Styela clava: one gene and its partner. The protein of the gene in region 1 purifies or fractionates together with the protein of each later gene. This does not show direct contact. Links are inferred from orthologs where the notes say so. Each region holds a gene or a part of one and is shown on either strand. Other genes may lie near its edges.

What was found.
Region 2: the proteins of uncharacterized protein LOC120327688 (region 1) and 60 kDa heat shock protein, mitochondrial-like purify together in Homo sapiens (affinity purification with mass spectrometry, with the first as the bait; 3 studies listed by BioGRID). This does not show direct contact. The link is inferred for Styela clava from reciprocal best matches to the Homo sapiens genes AMBRA1 and HSPD1.

Annotation. Positions count from the first base shown.
Region 1 is NC_135256.1:1,560,126-1,572,997, forward strand, and holds the start of uncharacterized protein LOC120327688, read left to right. Parts: upstream 1-6,906; 5' UTR 6,907-6,936; coding exon 6,937-7,171; intron 7,172-9,622; coding exon 9,623-9,774; intron 9,775-10,220; coding exon 10,221-10,418; intron 10,419-11,265; coding exon 11,266-11,356; intron 11,357-12,511; coding exon 12,512-12,579; intron 12,580-12,872. UniProt on the Homo sapiens protein: Substrate-recognition component of a DCX (DDB1-CUL4-X-box) E3 ubiquitin-protein ligase complex involved in cell cycle control and autophagy.
Region 2 is NC_135251.1:7,880,262-7,892,267, reverse strand, and holds 60 kDa heat shock protein, mitochondrial-like, read right to left. Parts: upstream 5,609-12,006; 5' UTR 5,499-5,608; coding exon 3,774-5,498; 3' UTR 2,524-3,773; downstream 1-2,523. UniProt on the Homo sapiens protein: Chaperonin implicated in mitochondrial protein import and macromolecular assembly. Together with Hsp10, facilitates the correct folding of imported proteins.

The DNA of each region.
Region 1 (12,872 bases):
GTCCATAAAGTCCCTTTACAATTTCAATTTTGTTATGAAGTCAGTTCCTAATATATCTCAATCATGTTTGTTGTTTATAATCGGTAATTGCTCAAGTATTTTACTTCATTTAATACATCTGTGAAAGCCAAAACAATAAATGGTATCAATAAATTAATTCCTTTTGCAATTTTATATATTTTAAGACTTTATTGACATCACATATAACAAATACGCTACTCTATACGTTATTCCTGACCTGGCAACCCGCAACTGTTTCATAAAACAAGCGAAATAGTCGAGAGAAATCGCTCGAATGAACATAGAAGATAAAATTTGCCGTCGGCAAACGTTTACTTTCGTGGTATTAACCCTCAGCGCGCACGTGTTGGAACAATAACTGTTAAAGCGTCAGACTCTGTTAAAAACTGTGATTGGTTTCTAAGCTTTGGCTACGATTTTTGGAAGGACCGATTCTATCTCAATATTAACCCTCTACGCTCATATGGGCACAAAAGCTGTTAAATCGCCAGACTTGCGCATATCCACGCATTTCGCTCGAAACAAGACCTTGCGCAGGAACCCACTGGTATCTGAAAAGCTACGAACTTTGGAAGGACCGATTGTTTCAAGGCATTAACCCTCTGTGCGCAAGTGATGGCGATAGCTGTTAAAGCGTAAAACTTAATCGTGTGGCTTCGCAGGTTAGACATTTCGGAATCAAATAACGTGCACCCATCTCACACAAAGTGAATTGATTTGGCAATCTCGAGCCAAAAAAACATTTCTGGTCCTTCCTAAAATAGCGTATCGTTGGATATCGGTCGCTACTTGTACAAACCTCGTTCGGAGCAAAACGCGTCGTAAAAAAACATCAGGTTTTGTATATAATAGTACCAATATGGAGGTAACAAATTTTGTTCGCCTACTTTGCATCAAGTTGTATAAAGGGACTGAAACCTATGAACACAAGGTATTCACTTGGCTAACACAGACAGTCCCCAAACTGATAATAGAACCAAAATAAGGAGAATCGGAATAAAATTATGGACTAACCCTAACCTGGTACACATACATGGAAGTACCTAAATTTCAGCTCAGTGGGATTATTTTCGTACTATCGTGTTATTGCACCGCGCGTTCTCGTTGTGAAAAAAATTGAATAAGAATTGTTGTGAATCGTGTGGCCAAAAGAATAGTACGTGTTCACTCACCTGAACTATATAGGCTTTTCTCTCTCTCTGATTTTATTTATTAAGTTTATCCTTTACTTTTTCGACAAACATTGCTACTATTTCGACGATATTTGATCTGTAACGTTTCGTCTGGCCGAGGTCAGACTTCGTGTTAGTGTGCCGCAGAACGGTCATCTTCACTCTTGCTACAGTATCCTTGCATTAGACGTAAATGGATGCACTTACACGGGGGAATAAGGCACGGACTAGTTTCACGTAGCTTTGACTCTAAATTCAACTTACGCACCCTACACAACACCGGTCGATAGTTCGTTTTTCAGCCAGACATGACATCTCGAATTTCGCCTGATTAATCAATACTCTTTGGGCAATTAGAGATTACGGTTGTATTGTTTTGTTTTTAAAATTCGCCAGATTTGACTACATGATACATATATAGACAGGAACGTGCGAAAACTTTTCTTCTGCCTGTGCGACTTTCTGATAATGAAGCCGCTTATACCTAACTTCAAAAATAATTCGGTTGATAAACAAATTTTACATCTGGTTATACATGAGAAAAAAAGAATTGAAAGTCAAGTAAGAGTGAAATGGTTGTATGAATATTATTTAAATCATCAAACTAAGCAACACACTCATCCCGTCAACGTGTTGCCCGTGCCTTCTCCTGCATGTAGGGTTTCCTATAGGGAAAAATATCATATATACAAACTGATCTTAAAATCAACAGAATCAAAAAAATAACAAGGTATAACAATATAAAATTAACAGAATCAAAAAAATAACAAGCAATAACAAGGTAGTATTAAGCTGTCTACTGCCATTACTTTATTGTATTTTTTTTAGGTTAGATTAATGGGTAAACGCCGGGAAATGGGAATGGCATACCTTATACCAGTGGTCCCAACCTTTTTCCAAGCAATCCAAACTTAAAAAATATATATTTTGTAAAATCTCGATACCCAAGGATATACATACTAAACGGTATATAAGGTTTTCGTGGCTCATTGAATGACTGATATAAAACAGCCATTATAACATAAAATTAATTTCAACAGAAATAAATTCAAAGTTGCACTAATGAGAAAACTGCACTTGTTTACCATCAGCGAGTTTTTGGAATCGTGGGGTGGGTTCACCTAAGCCAAATAAATGCTGCAAAGTTTTTATGCTGTGACACTTTCCGCGTATACGATTCCTATTGAGAAAAACTAAAACACCAAATATAAAATAAACTTTACTGAAAAATAAAAAATTTCCAAGTGTTGTTGAAAACAGAAGCGACTTAAGAAGATTTCCAGGCGACCCATAGGTCGGGAAATACTGCCGTATACTAACTTACCTTAAGATAATCCGCATCAAAGTAAGCATATCGATGGTATGCTCCTCCTACATCTCTCCTGTAGGGGGTGAACACCCCACATGATATTTCAAACACTCCCCTCTAACATAAGTGATTCAAGAGTCTTGCTGTACAATAACACAAATATATTTCTGTAACGTTTCGTCTGACCAAGATCAGACTTCTTCAGGTCAGACCACACTTTAATAAGTTACAAATAGTTTTATCGCTAATAGCAAACCACTACCCCTTTCTCTTCCAGGGTTTAAAAACAATAAATCTCTATCTTGCATTCCTTATCCTAATTCGTTTCAGATGCACAAACTTAGTTAATTCCCAATATTTACAATAATCGTAGTCCATTTCGCCTCAATTGCGATTCTTTCAATATTAAAATATTCTGTAGCCTGGACTGCCGAAGGTACCGGAAATCTGAGTATTCGTTAACAACCGATTATCGCCTCAAAACACTTTGTGAGTTATAATCATCCAAAAAGCGGCAGAAGACATTCCATTGTTGCGTCGATAATCAGATAAGAAAATTGTCTGCATAACTCGCACGGGCGATTTTTGTGCGCATTTGAAGTAAATTTAATTGCCTGTTTTCTTAATGGCCACTTTATCAAATTATGTCGACTTGGTTTGGCGTTTCTTGGTAATGGGACAATAATTGATTGTGCAGTTTGACAAAACAGGAATATCGAAATTGCTGACGACTGCGCATAGACCGACTAGAGTCCAGGGTTTCCCAAACTCTGCCGAAATCAAACGCAAATTAGGTCCCGTTGATGACGTACCCGTGATGAGAACTCGTCGGCGAAACTTTGCATTAGGTCAAAGGCAATTATAGCATTCTGTGTACTCATTTTGAACCGTGTGCTAGTTCTATTGGGCGGCGCATTTGGAGGAAGCTTTTGTGAATTAAATCAATACCAATATCTTTGAATAATACCATTGCATTATGAGAAATTTCAGTAAACTCAACTAATCGAGGTCAAGACGTACTCGAGTTCTGTGCCGGACCTTTTGCTGCAATATATTTTCTAGTGAAAAAGCGCATACCAGGCCATTTTTTGTTTCAAATTATCTAGATTTTATAATTCATGTGTGTTTACTATGCCTATCTGATCCTATAACCATTCTTTTTATTATATTTTCGGTATATATAGACTATACCGGTATATGCGCAAACACTACCGTAACGTATGGAATGCGTAGTTGGTGGTTAGAGCAGATTCCACAGGGATGGATCTGTCTTGAAGCAGGAAACTATGGATGAAATTTTCGCAAGTAACCTTTTCTGATGTCTCTCCATGGAACTAAAAGTAGACCTCTAGGTCGAAGTATCGTTTCCGCCTTGAAATTAATGTTGGAATCCTAGACCAGACCAGTGGTTCTCAAGCTTCCATTATTTATGGCCCACGATCGTAGCCAGTTTCAAATTTCGAGAGGGCAGTTTTCCTGTGTAATGACGTAATATGAACCTTACTCGTGCCATTTGTTCCGAACAAGGCTGATGGCGGACACATGAACATAGTATGTGTACCAGGTTAGGTCATGATTTTATTTCAATTTTCTTCATTTTAGTTCTATTACAAGTTCGGTGACTAACCAAGTGCCTCCCGTAGTATTTGTACCGAAATTATGGACTAACCCATTCCTGGTACACATACTAAGTTCTGGTGTTCGCCATCTTGGTTCACATACTATAGGAGTACCGAATTTTTTTCGGCTTTCATTTGCTTTACTGATTTTCATTCGGTATAAAAAGTCGTTATCACAAACTACATTCTCGCAAAAGACCTTTCATGCAAAACTACATTATCACAAAAGATCTTTCCTACAAAACTACATTCTCACAAAAGATCTTTCCCACAAAACTACATACACACAAAATACATTCTCACAAAAGACCTTTCCCACAACAATACATTCTCACAAAAGATCTTTCCTACAAAACTACATTCTCACAAAAGATCTTTCCCACAAAACTACATTCTCTCAAAAGATCTTTCCTACAAAACTACAATCTCACAAAATATCTTTTCCACAAAACTACATTCTCACAAAAGACCTTTCTCGCAAATCTACATCTCAACAAAGATCTTTCCCACAAAACTACAATCTTGAAAGATTTCTTCTCCACAAAACTACATTCTCACCAAAGACCTTTCTCACAAAACTACATTTTCACCAAAGACTTTTCTCAAAAAACCACATTCTCACTAAAGACCTTTCCCACCAAACTACATTCCCACCAAAGACCTTTCCCATAAAAAATCTTTCCCGCAAAACTACATACTCACAAAATACATTCCCACAAAATACATTCTCACAAAAGATCTTTCCCACAAAAATATATTCCCACCAAAGGCTTTTCCCACAAAAATATATTCTCACCAAAGACTTTTCCCACAAAAGATCTTTCCCACAAAACTACATCCACACAAAATACAATCCCACAAAAATTCTTTCCCACAAAACTACATTCTCACTAAAGACCTTTCCAGAAAACTACATTCTCACCAAAGACTATTCCCACAAAAGACCTTTCCCACAAAACTACAAGAAGAAGAATCCAATCCTGAATATCCCCGGAGGTGGGACGGAGATCGAATCCGGTTTTGGCCTCCCCTGCTCTACAGCTGTAGTGCAGCTTTTGCCCCGCCCCTTACCCGATACCGTTGCGCCAGATTGTGGTCAGAATATCTTGGTGGTGAACTTCTCACTGAGTTTTGTTATTCGTCGATATACCGGTACTCAGATATTACTGTATTATGGTCCTACCGTACCGACGGTACCTACCTATCGGTCATTGAGTACCGGTAGGTACCGTACTGGAGTAATGACCGCCGTCAATATCCATGTTTATTTGTTTGTGTTTGTGATGAGACTTGTGATTTGTTTTCTTTTTTTTTTAATAGTTTTAAACCTTTTTTATTAGGTTTGTTCACTTTCCAGATTATTCGTCTTAATAATCTTAGACTATGTCTGTATGTTTAGCCTAGGGCTGCTTTGTTTTTCCGAATTAATTTAAATAAATTCTATCTAGCTACCGTACGCAGGTACCGTACGCCTACCGGTATAGTCTACCTATTTCTGTATGCAGACTAGGGTAATTCATTTTGAGTTTCTTGCGATTATTATAATTTAATATTATCCTACCTAAAATGAATGGTGTTATTTAGATATTTCATAGGCAGATACAGTAGCCTACTCACTGTCAATATCAATGAATAGTTTCAAAACTCTAGAATTCTAACTTTTTGAATTAAATATTAGAACCCAGGGTGTCGCTGCTCGATAACCAGCTTTGGTTCCTAGCGCCTTCTCTTCCCCAGTAAAACTGCTGAACTGTGTACGATGTATCATCACTTTCTAGTGATTTGTGCTTGTGATATTTTTTTTACTGGCTGCAAAAAATAAACTTGACTTGAAAGGTTCTGTGTGTCAGTCTGTCAGTGATACAATTGTATAAATTAATTTGACACTTTTAGGTGAGTGTTTCTGTGTTTAGGCGAGTTACTCAATTCAAGTTTTTGGTGGATTAGCACGTACATGCAGACTTGTCCCATTTTTTAACCTTGCTCATCCTCCAGGTCTTCTGCGTTTGTTTGTTGTTGTTTTTGTTTAATGCTACAGTCACCGAAATACAGGAATAAAATTGATCGATTGAGTGAACATAAACTACTTTCTTTGGCAAAACATTCTAATTTATATTCTGTATGCTTTGAATCTTATAAAGTTTTGTTTGTTTTCCTGATTCTGTATTCTGCAATCAGTTTTTATCAATTATTTTATGGTCTTTTATGCATATCATTGGGTCAAATTAAAGTTGTAGTTTAGCTTCTATACTTATATGTATATTTCTGTGAAGTTGAATAATAGATATATTTGTCAAAGGGGTTGATACCAACAAGACAATTGTAATTTTGCCAATTTCTTGAACTGTTCCTGTATTTTCATACTCAACTTGAATTTAATAATGCAAACAAGGTTTTACTGAATTCTCAATAAGAGAATTTTTTTTATCACAAATGTGCTTTCTCGAATATTTTTTCGCACTATAGTCTTATTTTGTAAAACTACATAAAATCCGTTCTTGTTCAACCTAATATAAAAATCATATTATACAAACACATATTACAGTATTATCGTAAGATTTATTTTTGCCTTTTCAGTTCACATACCGGTGGCAAAGGGGCACATTTTGCCCCCTTTTTCAAAATATATCTTGAAAGCTAATTGAGCCATAAGACATACGGATTGTCCAGCATAACGATTTTTCATAACGACGAAATTTTTTTTGAAAGTTGCAGTATTTGCAATTTTTTGTCTTGATATTCCTGGCCGGAATATGATAATTCCATTTCTCTTATGCATTTTCAAGCTAAAAACATTTCTTTTCAGGTTTAAACAATGTATAATAGCACATCATGGCAAGATAGTATTATTCCTATAAAAACAAATGTAGTTATAGCAGAAAGGAATCGTTCTCTTGGATTACGAGGTTGGAATTCACACAGAAGCCCACTAAGACATTACGGAGACCGGGTAGTTGCGTCAGTAAATTTGGATAACTCGAAATTCGAACTTCCTCCAAGGACGAAGACTACGTTTATCACAGCGTTCAGCCCGGACAACACTCTTCTAGGTTCGTATTATTTTTTTTTTCAAGTTGTAGCTTTTACACTAAAACCCTTGATAAGACTGGTCAAAATCATGGGTCTGGTATTTTTTAGTACTTCCGGTGGGCGTAGCATACTTCTTAACGCCCAGAACGCCATTTGCCGATAACAAACCCACTAACGCCTGCGATCTTTCTCATATCGGGATCATTGCGATGAGAAAACAAGAGAAATAGCTTGCTCCATTTTGCAAGTGCAGTTTTAAGTATTCTGTGGCGTCTGCAGCTGCCGCAAAACCATCGCGGTATTTTCATACCATGACCGCTACGACCAAACCTATGGCGACTGACTTTTTAGCTGCCACAAACCAATTACGTAACCACGGCAGGTGGGCCGTAAAGACAGGGCTGTCCCTTATGGTGACAAATATTGGGTAAGTTGGAATGTTTTTTCTTATGGATACAGTTTTGATGGATTTGGGGTTAGGGTTAGGGTTTAAGTAGATATAATTCCACATGATCAATTAAAATCTGGTACATTAATGTTTGAATATATACCGTTAATACTGATTACTGAATACTGAATAGCGCTATAAAACCATGGCAAGAGCTGCCGCGGTTCGTTCGTGGCAGGAGCTGCCATGAAGCGGTAACAACTGCGCCTCCAATTTTGGGTGATTGTCTGCACATTTTGGACTACCATTCGTACACTTTGGAGAGCTTTATTAAGCTACTGGGATGTCGTAGTGAAGTAATTCTTCAAATCAAAATTAAAAGTATTCAATTCAAATTAAAAGCACTGTTGCTGCCAATTTCACTTATTTTTCTGGTTAGGTTGAGTTAACTATACTTACAAAGTTGTCAAGTTTGTAGTTCAAAGTATTCATAAATCATAAAAGCGTGACTGGTCGGAATAACCATTCCCTGAATCACGAGCATTATTGCTGCGAATTTTTAACTTATTTTTCTGGTTAAGTTGAGTTAATTTTGCAAACAAATTAATCAATTTCGGAGTAAAATGCATGAATCATAGAAGCGTGACTGGTCGGAATAACCAATTCCTAAATCACAAGCATTGTTGCTGTGAATTTTTAACTTTATTGTTCTGGTTTAAGTTGAGTTAATTTTGCAAACAAATTTGATCTAGCATATATAAAATATTCATAAATCATTGAATTGTGACTGCTTGGAAAAATCTAAATCTAAATCATAAGCAATGTTGCTGTCAATTTTATCTCATTTCTTTGTTTTAGTGAAATCATGCAGACAAATTAATCAGGTTTATAATAAAAGTATTTATAATTTATTGAATCGTGACTGATCGAAATAAATATATTCTAAATGACAAGCACTGTTGCTGCTAAGTTCCACTTTCTTGCTTATCGGTTTTGGTCAAATCTTGCCAAATAATTACTCAGGTATATATTGGAAGTATTCATGATTCATTGAAGCATGTCTGGTCAGAAGAATCAATCTATAAATCACAAGCACTGATGCTGCCAATTTCCACTTATTTCTCTGGTTAGGTTGAGGTAATCATGCCAACAAATTAATCAAGTAATTATTAAAAGTATTTATGAATCATCTAAGCTTGTCTGGTCGAATAAACACAGTCTAAATCAAAAGCATTGTTGTTGTCAATTTTTTCACCTCTTTGTTTTTCTGTTTTGATCAAATGAGGATATCTTTCGGCTTCCATTTTCACTTTTGAGTGGGTGTTTATAACTATGCTATGGCCGAATTTCTCAATAAAAAAAAAACTCTGGTTTTACAAAGAAAATTTTTTTTTTCGAGTCTGCAGTCGGGCAAGGACTTACCATATTAATTAATGGCCTTTTCCTCCTAATTAACACCTACACTTTAATTGTGTAATTACCTTCTTCAATGATTATCTGTGATTTTAATTTAATCTCTAACACATAGTGAGGGCTTTATTTACCTACTGCCATACCAAACCTATTGAAAACCTTCACAAGAACTAAAATTACTGAACGCTCATTGTGAGAATAGACCTGTGGTATGTGTTGTCTATTCCAGTGGTTTCCAACCTTTTTTCAAACCATCAATTTTTTTAAAATCTCAATACTAGGCGGCGTGTAGTGCTTTTAAAAACCTCAAAATTAACTGACTAATATGAAACAACCATTTTTTAATAAAATTTGTTTTAACCAAAATTACAGTAACTCAAAGTGAGAAGGCTGTTCTTATAGGCCATAAGCGAGTTTTGAAATCGAGGCATGTCGAGGCGCGTAGCAATCAATGAGGTTCTAATTTCATTTCTAGAAAATCAATCATTCGAATTGACCAAACTAAGTGTCCGGTATAAGATGCTCTACCTCTAAAATAAAACAAAAATGGGGATAAATGTCAAAATAAGGACAAAATTTTTTCCAATAAAAACCCTTTGATAATAAGGACAAATCTTAGATATAAGGACGTTATGTTTGCCTGTCTTATTTATTTTAAAAAAATTTTCAGCGAGTTGCCATGGGGACCACAATATCCATATTTTGGACTTGAAAACTAAAAAGTTGGTGAAGTCTCTTTCTGGTCACGAGCGTTCGCCATGGTGCGTTACTTTCCATCCTGGATCAAATGAAATTCTTGCTACAGGATCCCTGAATGGAGAGGTAAGAGTTTATTTTTTGATGATATGTCTTTGAAAGGAGGATATGTGTAATATTAAATGAAAGAAAAGTCGCATTGGAGGGACAACTTTACTTCAAACATGGTTTAACTATTCACAGGCGGCAATGTTAATACTAAATGAATATTTTAAGAATTAGTTTTTTTTATGCAGTAAATTCTTAATTTAAAATATAAGAAACTTCAATTTGGTCAAACTAAATCATATGATCCATTGGTATCTGACATTTGCGTTCTCTGGTTCATTTCAGTTGTAACTTCTAACAGAGATGAGTCTCTCTTACTTCTGAGTGCCTTCAACTTTGCTCAGAAATGAGTCTCTTATACGATTGAGTGAATGTTCTTAATAACTTTCTCAGAACTGTGTGTAGCCTTGCATTCAATGAATATTATTAAATATTTTCAACATGGTAATTTATTTATTTTTCAGGTCAGGGTGTGGGATCTACGGGGTGAGGGGAGTGAATCTTGGACAGTGGATAATAACGAACTGGTAGCGATTGCGTCACTTTCATTTCATCCCTATGATCATGTTTTAGCCATTGCAGCAGGAAATGAAATACATTTTTGGGATTGGAGCTTGCCGCATCCGTTTGCGTCTGTGAAAACTAACTCTGAATCTGAGAAGGTGAGACAGAAAACAGGACAAAGTTAATCAAAATTTAAATTTTTGGATTTTATAATGATGTATTTATATCTTTCGCTTTGATTCTCAACCTCTGTATAGCTGGTAAACAGGAGTGCACAACAAAGCATATCAAAATTTAAATCATCAGATTTTATATCGCGCTAAATATTCGAATAACGAATCGAATATTAAAATATTCGAATGGCATTGTTGCTAAACGGATATCTGGTGCCACATGACCGGGAAAACTAGCGCGCCTCTAAACCGATCATGAATCTACACCTCCGATGTTCTGGACACCTGTTGTGTAGAAAGAATATTCGTTATTCGACTATTTTGTTTTCTTTGAAAGTATTTGAATTATTTGATTCAAAAAAAAGATTCAATTTTGCCCACCCTAGCTTTGACTAAGTCTCTGTAAAAGTAGTCATTACTTGGTGGGAAGTTTGGAAGAACCGTAATCTTTCAAATCAAGGTATTACACACGGGGTGAGGTCATTCTATCTGAAATATGGATGTATAAGGCGGATCGAATATTCAGTTTTTCTCAAATTTTTTGTCCATAATGTCTTAATTTTTTTTCAATTGCGAAGGGAATTTATCAATACCATGTATTGTTTTGGCCCTCACAGATGTATTAAATGAAGTAAAAATACCAGAACAACTATTGATTAAAAAACAACGAACCTTCTGACTGGTATGACTGTTATGAACTGATTATAACAAAATTGAAATTGTAAAAGGGACTTTATGGACACCCTGTATTATTTATTTGCTCTGCGCAAGCATTCTTCATTAGACTTCACACCTAGTTTACCTTCCTATCATCCATTTTTATATATTCCAGGTTCGTTTTGTCCGTTTTGATCCGTGGGGTCACTCTATAATTACCGGGGTCGGAAATGCGGAAGATGACGAAGAGGATGAACCAACGTTTGGTGAGTAAGCTCGTGTATCATGCTATTGAACATCATTTTGAATTTCAATGTATGTTTCGGCCTTGTTCTTTAGATTGTATTTAACTTAGATTGCTCAGCTTGGTTGGCCTTGTACTATATAAATCAGTGTTATTCAAACCTTTTTCACATGACTCACTCGACACGGCCAATTTTTTTCGTGACCCTCGTGAGTCGTGACCAAAACGAACATAAAAAAATTTAATACAGAGAATATTAAAATAAAAAGGACAATAGCTTCCATGAAACTGATGTGCTTGCATATTCTCGCACAAAATATCGAACCTGGCGCTACTTTAGTTATGGTGGGTCTTAGTACTGGCTTCAAATCCTTCAAATTTAATCAATGTTTTATTTTCAACATGACTCATTGTTGAAAAAGTTTTTTTACCAATCGCATTGAGCCATTTCGCGACCCACTGGGGGATCTGGACCCCCAGTCCGAAATGTGCTGCTTCAATTAATATTTCGTGCTATTGCTGTGACATAGACTGGTTATTTTAATAAGATAGGTCTGTGTGGTCCAAATTGCGTCTCGTTAGTGGCAAAACGAGCTGATTACCATATTTCTTCGCATATAATACACACTTGTAATGAATCTAAATTTAGTACTTTGATATAAGGCTTCATTCAACCAAAGTATTTAGCGCACTTTGAATAAATCTAAAATAAAATACAACACAAGTAAATGTTACTAAAAAGGAATATGTATCTAGTTCATTTTTAACGGGAATTTTTCAATCTCCATGCATAATACGTGTATCAAAATTCTGTTCTCTCTTGCCTTGTAGGTATTTTTTCCCGACGTTTCGGGCATTTTGTCTGCTTGCCTTCTGTTAACTATATATCTGGTAATAAGTTTTATGTATTTCCCTGTGAAACATCTGCCAATCATACTGTGATGTTATTTGACATTAGAGTATCTTGTAAAGTAATTTGTTCCTCCCCCTTTAAAAACTGACAAGATATCAGAACGTGTTTTCATCAAGCAAGCTTGATGCAAACTCGAATGCTTGACCAATATTTTGGTCCTAAATTTCTCAAACTTCTTTAATAATAACCAAAATAATCTGGCAATTATATTTTTTCACAGATCACAAAATCCTTTTATAATCTGGCGACTATATTTTTTCACAGATCACTGGTCGTGGTTGTTCGCTCCTTCATCGCGATCTTGGAGAACAGGCTCTGGCGATTTCAGACCGGTAAGTTTTTTTTTTTTACCACATACTTCTAGTTGGCCTGACACAACAATTTTAGCATATGTCATTCCTAACCCCCACTTGACTACGTCACAATAAAGTCTGGCATAGACGCCCGATAACGATTTCACTAACGCCAGCGATCTCTCTCATATCGAGACCGGCGAGAAAACGAGAGAAATAGCTTGCTTGATCTGGACGATCTGTATATTCTGTTGGGCCTTCTTTAAATTTCAAATTTTAAATTTTTTAATGGGGATGATAGAAGTGCAAACTTTTAAACGCTTTCTTTACAT
Region 2 (12,006 bases), on another chromosome or scaffold:
CCGAAGTCATAAGATTTTAACATGAATGTTTATCCGAGATATCAGGGAGATGCTTTGCGTGAAAAAAGCAAGAAAAATCATAGCATAGCTCACGGGCCAAATACAATCTAAAAACAGTTGGATCAGGGGCCCGCTCGTCGCCTAAATTCCGCAAAATAAGTGCGTTAATACGATAATGGAGAATATACTTTGATCTGCGGCAACCTACCGTACGTAAGTTGGAACGAATCAAGGCGAATTTATTTAGACGATGAGACACACTAGGGATCGGATTTCAATAACGGCTCAACTTTTATGTGATGTCGTAATAGGAACATCAAGTTTATGTATTGCGTATCATCAAATGTACATTGCAATTACATTTCTAAATTGCATAAATTACGAAATATGGGTTGAAGCCCCTAGGACCCAGGCTTCGGAGAGTTTATTGCGAATAAGATACGATTGGCAAGTTTTTAACTCCATTATTTTTTTTTAGCCCTAACACATTTAATACTCGAATATTACAGGCATTTTAAACAAAACATGCACAAAAAATGATTTTGAACATTTTTTTTGAACAAATCCCTGGATCAGTTAACGTATGTTTATTATTTTCTATAGTTTATTCTCCGATAGATTACTCAGGTTTAGTAGTGTTTTGTGCGACGCGATGGTCTGGTGGTTTAAAGTGTTTGACTCAATTAACTGTGTTGGAGTCGCAGAATACACATTGTGTAGATTCACACAATTACGCATCACGGGTTCAAATCCTATGTGGAACCCCCCTGCTCGTAGCTTGCGTCGCCCTGCACGGCCGCTATCCGTTTGCGGGGACGTGGTAACTGATCGAAAAGTGGATTTAAACATTGAACCGCAGACATGATTCCGGGTATATTATGAGTGCGAAAGCTGATTTTTCACTGTGTCCCATGTGGCCCACCTCCCTCTACTTATCAGTACGCTGATGTAACAAAAATCAGTTGTTTATTTTCCCACTATACATAGAAGGCACTTTGTGGATTAATTATGCAAAAAGAAGTAAAAATGGCATTTCTGGGCCAAGGGAGGCGCGTGAACTAATGAAAAGCGATACCCGTGATTGAGCCTGACAGTCAAGTCCTACACTATTCAGCTAGTTTTAGGTTTGATATAAATGTGGAACCTAACCAAACAGCGAATAAATATTTTACCAATAATAATGAATATTTTGTAACAGAAGTCGTTCTCGTTTTCAGTGTTTTTTAATACTTTAAACTTTTTTTTAACAGCTTTACTTCTCACTGTATTTCTTCAGCCAATGGCTTTTGGCATTTTAGCTGTCGCCTGTAGCTCTGCTCAGGGATAATTCTTTTCATATTTAAAGTGACTATTCTATTTAATTCAAGAGTCTTGCTAGACACTTACACAAATATATTTCTGTAACGCTTTGTCTGAACGAAGTCAGACTTCTTCAGACAAGCATTTTACACTTGTGACAAGAATCGCAATCGCATGCACATAATGGTATCAAATGCCGAGAAGCATTGCTTCCCTGTTGTTCTGGCATTGTCCCAATCCTAGTTATTTCTTTCTATCGGAAACAGACCCAACATTTGATACCATTATTTATGTGCATGCCATTGCGTATCTTGTCATAGCTGTAAAATGCTTGTCTGAAGAAGTCTGACCTCGGTCAGACAAAGCATTGCAAAAATATATTTGTGTGTGTAGCAAAACTCTTGAATTAAAGAGAATAGTCATTTTGACTTTTGCTACAGCACCCTTGTGTTATACGCATACGGATCCAGCTGTACAAAGGCATAGATAGAGCAAGAAAAAGTAGTTAGTTTCACGTGACCCCAACTGTTAGTTATTTAAAATGTGGACCGGCCCTTACAAAAACAAGTGCCTGCATGTATATGGCTTTGTTAGGGCGGGGATTTTAAAAAACGCCGAGAAATGCACGACACTGACGCTGGAATGTCACTCAATATCGCGCTATTTGGAATGTTATTCACACATTAAATGGACGATGTATCCCAAACATATAAATTTCTAGGAAGTATTTTTATAGGTACTGAAATACACTATTTGTATTAGCAAGCCTGACATAATCTTGGTCGATGAGATTTGGCCCCTTTAATGTTAGTCACACACCACTATGCAGGGGGGTTTGACAGTTACAAGTTTATTATATATTTCAGTCTTTTACCAGACCATTTCTCTACATTATGGCTTCCCAGACTTTCAGGCTCGCGAACCCCTCTAATAAATTCAAATTTTCCGGGAACCCCTGTTCCCAGTAGCGGGCCCCTAATCAGACCTCACAATCAAGGTCGACATTGTTATACAAGGGCGCAGTCTCTCTAATCCTATGTGTTGAAAAAGAGAGTTTTTGTTTCGCACTAGTTTTAATGATTGTGTTAGAGTCAAAAGTCTAAAAAAGTACAATAGATATAGTACTTTATGTGAAATTGCTGTACTCCCTGCGACCTCCGGTTTGGAAAGATCTATACCTCCCTTGCCTCGGTTCCTCACAAAGCCTCAAAATAAAAAATAGTTACCTCACAGCTTGGCAGTAATTTAATGGCATGATTTTCTCAAATCAATCACAAGAAATTATTGTTGAACGTGTAACAGACTTGCAACAATGGTGCACGAGAGAGTCGATGAAAAATGAAATTAAAAACTGTGATAGCAGCGGGCATGTAGCTAGCTAGAGGATATAAACCAGGGATGAGCAAACTGCGGCACATCAAAGCATTCTGTGCGACCCCTTGCCTGCGAGAAGTTGTGAAAATGAAAATTAACTTCGATTTGGCAATTAATTTGTATCATTTGATATTTTTACTTTGCCATACAACAAAAATCTTCAATTGGGGATATTTTACATACTAAATTTTAACTTATTAAGATATGGTAACTATATGATAAAAAATAAACACCCCTTCGCTAAAATATTTTCCGAATGCAGCCCATGCAACCAACATTAACCCCCCCTGGTATAATCCATATCTTGAAGTTTAACATCAAAATTTCCAAAATTACTTTTGCACTGGCTCACAGGACAGCAATGACACAATTACAAGTAAAAATGCAAATCAATAAAAAATGGAATTATTAAGTTCAAAGGTCAGAGTTCAAACATTGGCAAGGTAATTGAAAATCGTGATGACCCTTTCAGGTATGTTCCATAATCTTACAGGCTGAATAAATCAATTGCAAAATGGACGATAATTGTAACACGCTTTGTGATTTCCTATTAAAAAAAAGATAATTTCACATTATCTAAAATTATTAGTATTTGGCTGATGGTCAGACAGAAAAAAAACTTCCAAGTAATTTACGACACTCTCAAATAACATGAAATCGGTCAGAGCAATGTTTATTAGGGGTTGCATCACTGAATTTTCAAGTTCCATCAAGAATTTCTGCAAATTTCTTTGCAAACATGACCCAATTTGTTATATATCATTTCAAAATGTATTTAGAATTGTAATTATTTATTTTTAAACCCCCTGCCCTAACAACCAAATTAAAACTTGAAGCATCAGATCCATGTGATGGAATATGGACCTGGGTGAATGTTCAAGACTATAAAATAGCAGAATGAGACGTCCAGTGGTCCAATTTTATTAAATAAATTAAAAATGCCTGATTTATCTGGCTCTGGGTAGCCATCATTTTAAAATGCGTTGAAATCTGAATGTTGAACTCTGTCTGCAGTGTTTTGAATCAAGTTCATAGGCAGTTAATTGAACTATCTCAGTTGAGGGACGGTCTCTGAATCTTAATAATTCAGTGTGGAAGATTTACATCATCCCACCCATTCCTCCCATGCCCCCCATTCCGCCTCCCATACCACCCATAGGTGGCCCAGCTGATTCATCTTTCGGCTCTTCTGTGATGACAACTTCTGCAGTTGTCAATAACGACGCTACTCCTGATGCGTCAACAAGAGCTTGCTTGACTACTTTTGTCGGGTCAATGATGCCAGCTTCCATCATGTTACAATACCGGTCTTCACGGGCGTCGTACCCATAATCTCCTTCAGCTTGAAGTAATTTTTCTGCGATAAGTTGACCTTCCAATCCAGCATTGGAGCAGATAGTTGACGTAGGAATTCTGAGAATTTTCCTCACAATGTCGACCCCAATTTGTTCGTCCTTATTATCGACCTCAATATTTTCAAGTGAAGGCGAACAGCGGAGAAGAGCGATTCCACCTCCAGGAACAATTCCTTCTTCGACAGCTGCTCGTGTTGCGTTGAGAGCATCTGTGACACGATCTTTCTTTTCATTGACTTCAACCTCGCTTGAACCACCTACTTTTAAGACGGCGACGCCACTGGCAAGTTTAGCAAGACGTTCATTCAATTTTTCACGCTCATAATCGCTTGATGTGTCTTCAAGTTGTTCTTGAATTTGAGCGATCCTGCGTTCGATATCGTCCTGTTTCCCCGCTCCACGTAAAAACAAAGTATCATCTTTGGTAATTACAACTTCGCCAACTTTTCCTAAATCATGGACTTGAACATCTTCTAATTTTAATTCCATGGCTTCGTCACCGAAAATGATTCCTCCAGTAGCAATTGCCATATCTTTCAGCATATTCTTACGGTTGTCTCCAAAGCCTGGGGCTTTTACAGCAGCAATTTGTAAACCAACTTTCAAACGATTTACGACGAGGGTTGTAAGAGCTTCACCTTCAATATCTTCTGCAACTATAATGAGAGGTTTACGTTGAGCGTTTGCAAGTTCGAGCGCTGGTACAATGCTTTGAATAGAGGTTATTTTCTTCTCGCTTATCAACAAGAAAGCATCCTGGTACTCGACCTTTTGACCCTTCGCTGTGTTGATGAAATAAGGTGAAATATAACCTCGATCAAATTTCATGCCTTCAATAACATCCAACTCATCGTTCAAAGTTTTTCCATCTTTTACCGTTATGACGCCATTTCTGCCGACTTTTTTCATAGCTTCGGAAATGAGATCGCCAACCTCCTTATCACCGTTTGCGGAAATGGTTGCTACTTGCGCAATTTCTTCAGGTGTTGTCACAGGTCTAGATAATTCTTTTAATGCATCAGTGACTTTCACAACCGCTTTTTGAATACCTCGTCGAACATCGATTGGATTCGCACCTCTGTTAATTTTCTCCGAGCCTTCTTTCGCAATTGCTCTTGCGATTATCGTAGCAGTCGTAGTTCCATCACCCGCTTCGTCGTTGGTGTTACTTGCAACATCTTGTACAAGTTTTGCTCCAATATTCATCAATCTATCTTTGAATTCTATCGCTTTTGCGACAGTAACTCCATCTTTGGTTACTTTTGGCCCTCCCCACGCCTGCTCAATAATAACATTACGACCTTTAGGTCCCATTGTAACTGCTACCGCATCCGCAAGTTTGTCAACCCCTGCCAACATTTCCTCCCTTGCAGGTGAACCAAAAGAGACAATCTTTGCGTAGCCACGAACTGCAACCATCTGGCTTGCTGGCTGGGCAACTTTTCGAACCAATTGTGGAACTCTGTGCATTTTTATATTTCTTGTTTTCAGATTATTAAATTTAATGAAAGCTGGAAGTGCAGGTCTACGTTAACCTGGTCAAAACTACAACTGTAATAAATAATAAGTAAATACTGAAAGTTTAATCATTAAATAACAACTGTTGGACAAAAATATGATAAATCTCGCTTGTAAAAAAATTTGATCAAGGTCGTTTTTTTCAGCGTAACATCATTCACAATCAGAATTACTTATATGTAGTTGCCAGAATATTCTCATCCTAATGAGCAAATATATAAATGCTATTTCTGCTTGATTTCACTTCAGGCGGTTTGCAAACAATTTTCATAAAATATTATAAAATCTGAGGTATCAATGGTCTTAAATTGAACAGATGTACGATCTAGCATACCATAAATCCCAAAAACTGCAGGGTCGAGGCAGCTAAAATCGTGTCATATGCAATCTGATGCATTTCAGGACTTTAGTTTATTACAATTTAAATCAATAAAACCTGAACCGGAATAATTAAGTTCAAAATCACATAGGCAGCTAATGGGAAACTTTTATTTATTTATTACCTTTTATTTTATTTATTATATATCGACTATTCGAATTTGAAAAAAGTATCTGAGTACCGAAAATTGAGATAATAAATAGGGTGGCTTACCCACTTTGCAACCACGACCTATTTGCGACCATCAACTTCATCAATTAAATTAATGCCAAAAAAACTAACGAACCGCAACGATATTTCTCACACGTCATCGTCCACTTATCCCCTGTAGCTCTGCGAAATTACACTAAAATGCGGCCACAAACAAAAAAGTAGCGACCGAAAAAAAAAACGGACCATTTTTCTATGTCGCCAACTACCCATTGTCCCTGAAAAAAGCTTGAAAAACCATACAAATAAAAGAGATAAAAAGATGAAACTTGGCAAGTGGGTAGAGTTGTGTTTCTTTTAACCATCTTTAAAGTTTCGCGTTTCTACATTTAAAGGAGGGGGAATTGGAGGGTGCGCATTTCCAATACGTCGATAATATCTTTGTCGACCAATTTGTGACCACCATGTTTTTTTTTTTTGATTGCTGTGATGCGGTGCTTTGTTTATAATTTGACGAGTTTTGTTCGAAATAACCGTGTTCTTAAAATATATGACGGTCAAAAATGCAATTAGAAGGCCACTTTTTTCACACATGGCTGCGTATGCCCTAGTCTCGACGCAGCAGAAACGATGTTCAAGGCTTGAAATCCGTGGTCGCACACTGGTCGTTCGGTCGCAAATATGTCTTCAGAGTGTCGTACTTTTGTGGTTTGTATAGCTTTAACCCCTGGTCTTAAAAAGGTAATTCGAGGTTTAGCGTGTAGATTAAATGCCAATGCACCTACGATGCAAAAATTAACAGGTTAAAAATATTGGTTTTTCAGTTTTATATCGGTTTGAATGAAATCGTCCGCAGACTGGCTACACCACCCTATCAGCAAATTCTATTATATTTACAGCACCTCATTAGGTTGAAAAATTTTAGGGTATGATTCAGATATTTTTGCAGGCTAAAAGACACTTTAAATGAGGTGAGTTGTGGTGAATAAACAAATAAATTGGAAAATTGTGACAAACCAATAATTAGAACAAAAAACTATTGATGTTAAGGCAGCAATAAAACTGCAAAAAAATTGTTACTAATCATTTGATACAGAAAGGTGGTTTATTAATGATTTATTAACATAAGATAATTTCTTTAAGCACCTTAAATTCTTAAATTGGTGACACAAGACAAAAATGTTAAAAATACACAATGAGTTACAATCAAATTATTTTTTCTGCATTTGTAACATTTAATAATCAATGTTTTTGGTTTCAATTTACTTCAATAAGACATTCATCACACACAGACTCTGCATTATTTCAGAATTTCTAGCATCAAATTATTTTTGAATACAGACAGTACGGTATCGTAAGGGCAGTACTGCAGTACCAGACTGGATTCCATGGCAGGTGCACGCCCGAGGGCGCTAGCGCTCCGCAAAAATGCACGCGAGCGAAATCAATTTTGCACGTCGAAAATTTGCAATTGCTCACCAATGTAAATCGGTTTAAATGGTTTTAAAATCAATAATCCAGTAATATAAAGATGCCAAAATATTATAACTCCACAATTGTCGACAAATACCAGCCTGCAAGATTTGGTCTGATCGAAATATTGCGAAGCAAAAAGACCATGGACCTTTTCCCAACATTTGACCCGCGAAAAATTCCTCTCATTGTTACGTCCTTTTTTGCATCTTGCTGATTGGCCAATGTCACGAAGTAAACAAGGAAGTCGATGCTCGGGGAAAGGTCCATATCGTGTTGAATGATAGGAAATAGGTATCCCGTGAGAATAGTTATGGACGAAAAGATCGCCTTCGCACCAATGGCCAAGTACGGCTCTGATTCAGCGTATTTTTCATACAATAATTTTACTCGAATGTACTGAACAGTACCGGTATCTAAAGTTGCTCAAACACTCCCAAAATTAGTGACAAAGTATGAAAATAATGTTTGGGGTCAAAGGTCAAACGTCCATTTTGCTCTAATTTGACGTATTTTTTATCCATTAATTCTACGTAAAAACACTACCAAAATTAATGACAAAGTATGTCCATTTTGCTCTGGTTCAACGTATCCAATAATTTTACGCGGATGTACTGAACAGTACCGGTATCCAAAGTCGCACAAACACTCTCAAAATTAGCGACAAACTGTAGAAATAATGTTTGGGGTCAAAGGTCAAACGTCCATTTTTTCTCTGATTCAACGTATTTTTTATCCGATACCGGTAATTTTACGCGGATGTATTGAGAGGTATCTGATGTCAAAGTCAGTTGCACGCGAGTGCAGTTGTTTTGCACGTCGTGAGCTATAATTGCACGCCAGGAATTCTTATTTTGCACGCGGGAATTTCTGATTGCACGCCCGATTTCTCGTTCAAAAAGGCCATGAAATCCAGACTGGCTGCAGTAGTCAATTCCTTGAGAAATAAAAATATTTGGCTTCAGCACTTTCAGACTTTGCAGAAACCACAGAAACAATCCTGCGATCAAGACTCCTCTCCACAGTACAGCAGTATGAACACTTAACTCCAGAACTCAGTGAAGAGTTACCGATACCATACTTCAATCAATCAATTTTATCTGGCCACTCTGATAGAAACAAAACACAAAACAACAACGAACGGACAAACAAAATACAAAGGAATAATTTGCTGCTTTCACTATTCTAAACGTTTTATACATTGGTTTGCTTTGAGCAAACGTAACTACAAATATCTTACAGTAATAACGTTAAATAGCTTTCTAACCAAATACCTCATTCCGACATCAAGATATTCTCGATCACAAATCGCAGCAGCAATAAAAGAAACGCTTTCTGAAAACAACCGACTGTGTGACTGCGCGCGAGACAGACACGACGGAAGGTCGATCGATTGCACAACCGGCGATCACACGAGCACGCGTTTCTTTTGCAGAAAAATCCAGAAACAGGCGTGGATGCATCCAGGCGTATCGAACTCTTGCGTCGCCTCGTGGCAATTCTGCGTAAGGTTTCACATCATATTTATTCGGGAGATCGTAGGGAAGTCGATAAACCTGAATAATTATATGGCAAACCATGGAATTTCGTCCGGCTATCAGTTCGAATCAATTATAGAAATAAGTAACTAGGTATTTTTCAATCAGCTTGGTAATATCTCCTTTTAAAGGTGCCGCTGATCGATAACCAGTATTGGTTACTCGCGTCTCCTTCACCCTGAAATATGGCCTATTTATAATTTAATTTATTGCAATTTGTATGTTTGTGCCTGTTTTAAGTATGGTGAGGAATAAACTACTGATTGAGGAATATTTTTCTCTGCACAGCATATCCCTCTTGTTGACTAAATCGGTATCCAATTTGGCAATCCTCATAAAATCATTAAATCGGTGTGGCGAATAAATTTAGTCATTTTTTACTCGTTTGTATATTTTTCTTTTTACTAAGTAATTGAATTTATGTCTCGCTTTTTCGCTTCCGATCTTATCATGTCTCGGTGATTGTAGGTGTGTGTGTATGTGTGCGTGCATGCCTTAATTAGTTTTAACACTTTTGGGAGAGCGAACACGTACTACTTCCTTTATCTATAACTTCCCACCTAAAATCTGTACGCTTTATACTTTACTTGAGGTTTCGTTTGCTTTCCCGATTCTATAATCAGTTTTATTTATTTTGTTCTCATCAATTTTCTTTATCGTCTATTATGCTGATTATTAAGCAAAAACGACTATATTGTGTTTAGCAGTTCGTGAACAAGGTTACCGGATTACAGATGTATATACGCGCATGTTGGAAGACCGTAACCTACTAGTAGCGAGTACGAAATGTTCTGAGGACGTTTAGCTATAATTTATTAAAATACAAACGGCTTTACCTCAATACCTTAAAATTCCATAACATATCTGCAATCTCCCAATGGGGATATCAATTGTTTGTTTTATTGCTTTTTTTAATGACAAAACTGGTCAAAATCTTAGTCTAATTGTCTGATTTGCAAACAGTGGGATTAGATCAGGGTTGAGCAAATTACGGCACGTGGAGTGTTTCATCCGGCCCACTTGTGCCCGCTGAAGTTATACGACTATAGTTTTTGGAAATATAAATAAATATATAGCGTACCGCAAAATAAATAATATCTCACGCAAAATCCAAACCTGGATGTAATCAATGACATTAAACAATGTTGTTTAATGTCATTGATGTAATTTACAAATCTTCGCCCTGGCGGGTCGCGAAGCATTTCCAAATGTTACATACAATTTTCAACAAGATCAAGAAATTGTGGCATTATTATCACATAACAATAACCCTTATGACGCAATTTACCAGTTGTTGAATTCGGGTAAACAGTAGCCAGTAAACCGGTTTATGTAGTCGTTAATTTTATGTCCAATGAGTTCCATTTTGAATACTGAGTAGATCAGGGTTAATATACTTTATCAAAACACCCTAACTTTGTTTAATTTTTGTAAGAAACAAAATGGGTAATTTTTAAACAGAAAAGGTAACGAAGTAAAAAATCTCAATAGATTACAGTGAAAAACTTTGATTCGGATTACGTCAAATGTGGTTTTATTGAGGCAGGAAATGACTTCAAAATCACAATATGTTGAGTGTCAATGCTACGTTGGCAATGAGCCCCTATCAATCATCCACTTGATCTGCTAATATCAAATATACAAGCTTAAATTTTGCATCAATAATATATTGCATTTGGATACCTTGTATCTTTTCTAATATATTAACACCCCATTGTGAGTGACAAAGAAAAAATGGCGATACAAGTGGGTCACGAAGTGGAAAAGGTTAGGAAGCACCGCAATATATATTTGTTGTACATAAGCTGTTACGATATTTTTTTGCAAATAAACTGTTTCTATTCATGGGCTTTTCATATCGAGCATCCGGCCCAGTAAGCAATCTATCATCTGGAACTAGCCCACTCCTGGATTAGATAGTTAAAAATAAGAACTAGACGGCTGGTTTATTAGGGTTAGGAAACAAGCCTGGCATTGCACCTCCGTATGAATACCCACAGTTCGCAAGCTTGAATCGCAAGTTAGGATCGAGGTGGGATGTACCGGCAGTTATGTTAGGGTGGTTCGCGTCACCGCTGGTCGGTTATGGCTTCCTCCACTATGAAGCTTATGCTCCAGAAAACAAATATTTAACTAATCCCATATCCGACATGGAATGGTAACAGACGGGAGGCCGTGGTTCGTCATAAGGTTTGGATAGGATTTACATATTTATCCCGGTGGAGGGGAAAGCCGATAAGACGGCTTAACCATATGGCGAACCACGGCCTCTCGTCCGGTTACCAGTCCATGTCGGGTATAGGATTAGTTTTAGTTATCGAACCAGCGGTAACGTGAACCACCCTACGACTGCGAGGAGTCCAGCTATCCTCTCGCACATAACTAAGCCCTATTATCCCTTTGCTATCTCCCGGGATAAATATTTAGATCCTCACACATTCCAACTATGCTCAGCATGACATCCTGGTTACATAATTGTCCTAGACGTAGAGGCCGATCCAAACTATTATTGGAAGTCTGTAAAACCGCACAAAAGTAGGTTCCCCGAAGTTGATTAAGGTCAGGTTTTATGCAGACTGAAATATATTTACCAGTAATATATGGCAACCGTTAGTTAGGGTCAAATGTCACCTCACCAGAATTTATTTTATGTCGTCCTGTGCTGTGTCAGTGTGTGAACCGTACCGGCAATGCATTGGTTACCGCACCGTAGTATAATTGAAAGATTATTTCGACTCCATAGTAAGCATAGCATGTGAAAAAATCAGCATAACATGTGACAAGCACAATATTGTATAAATGTGCTTGCCATATCATGCCTGATGAAGTTTTTCTGAATAGAAATTCGAAACATCGGCAAATTGAATCGTTTTGCTAACACCAGTTACCGGTACTGAGTTATGCTTTATTTATCATCGAT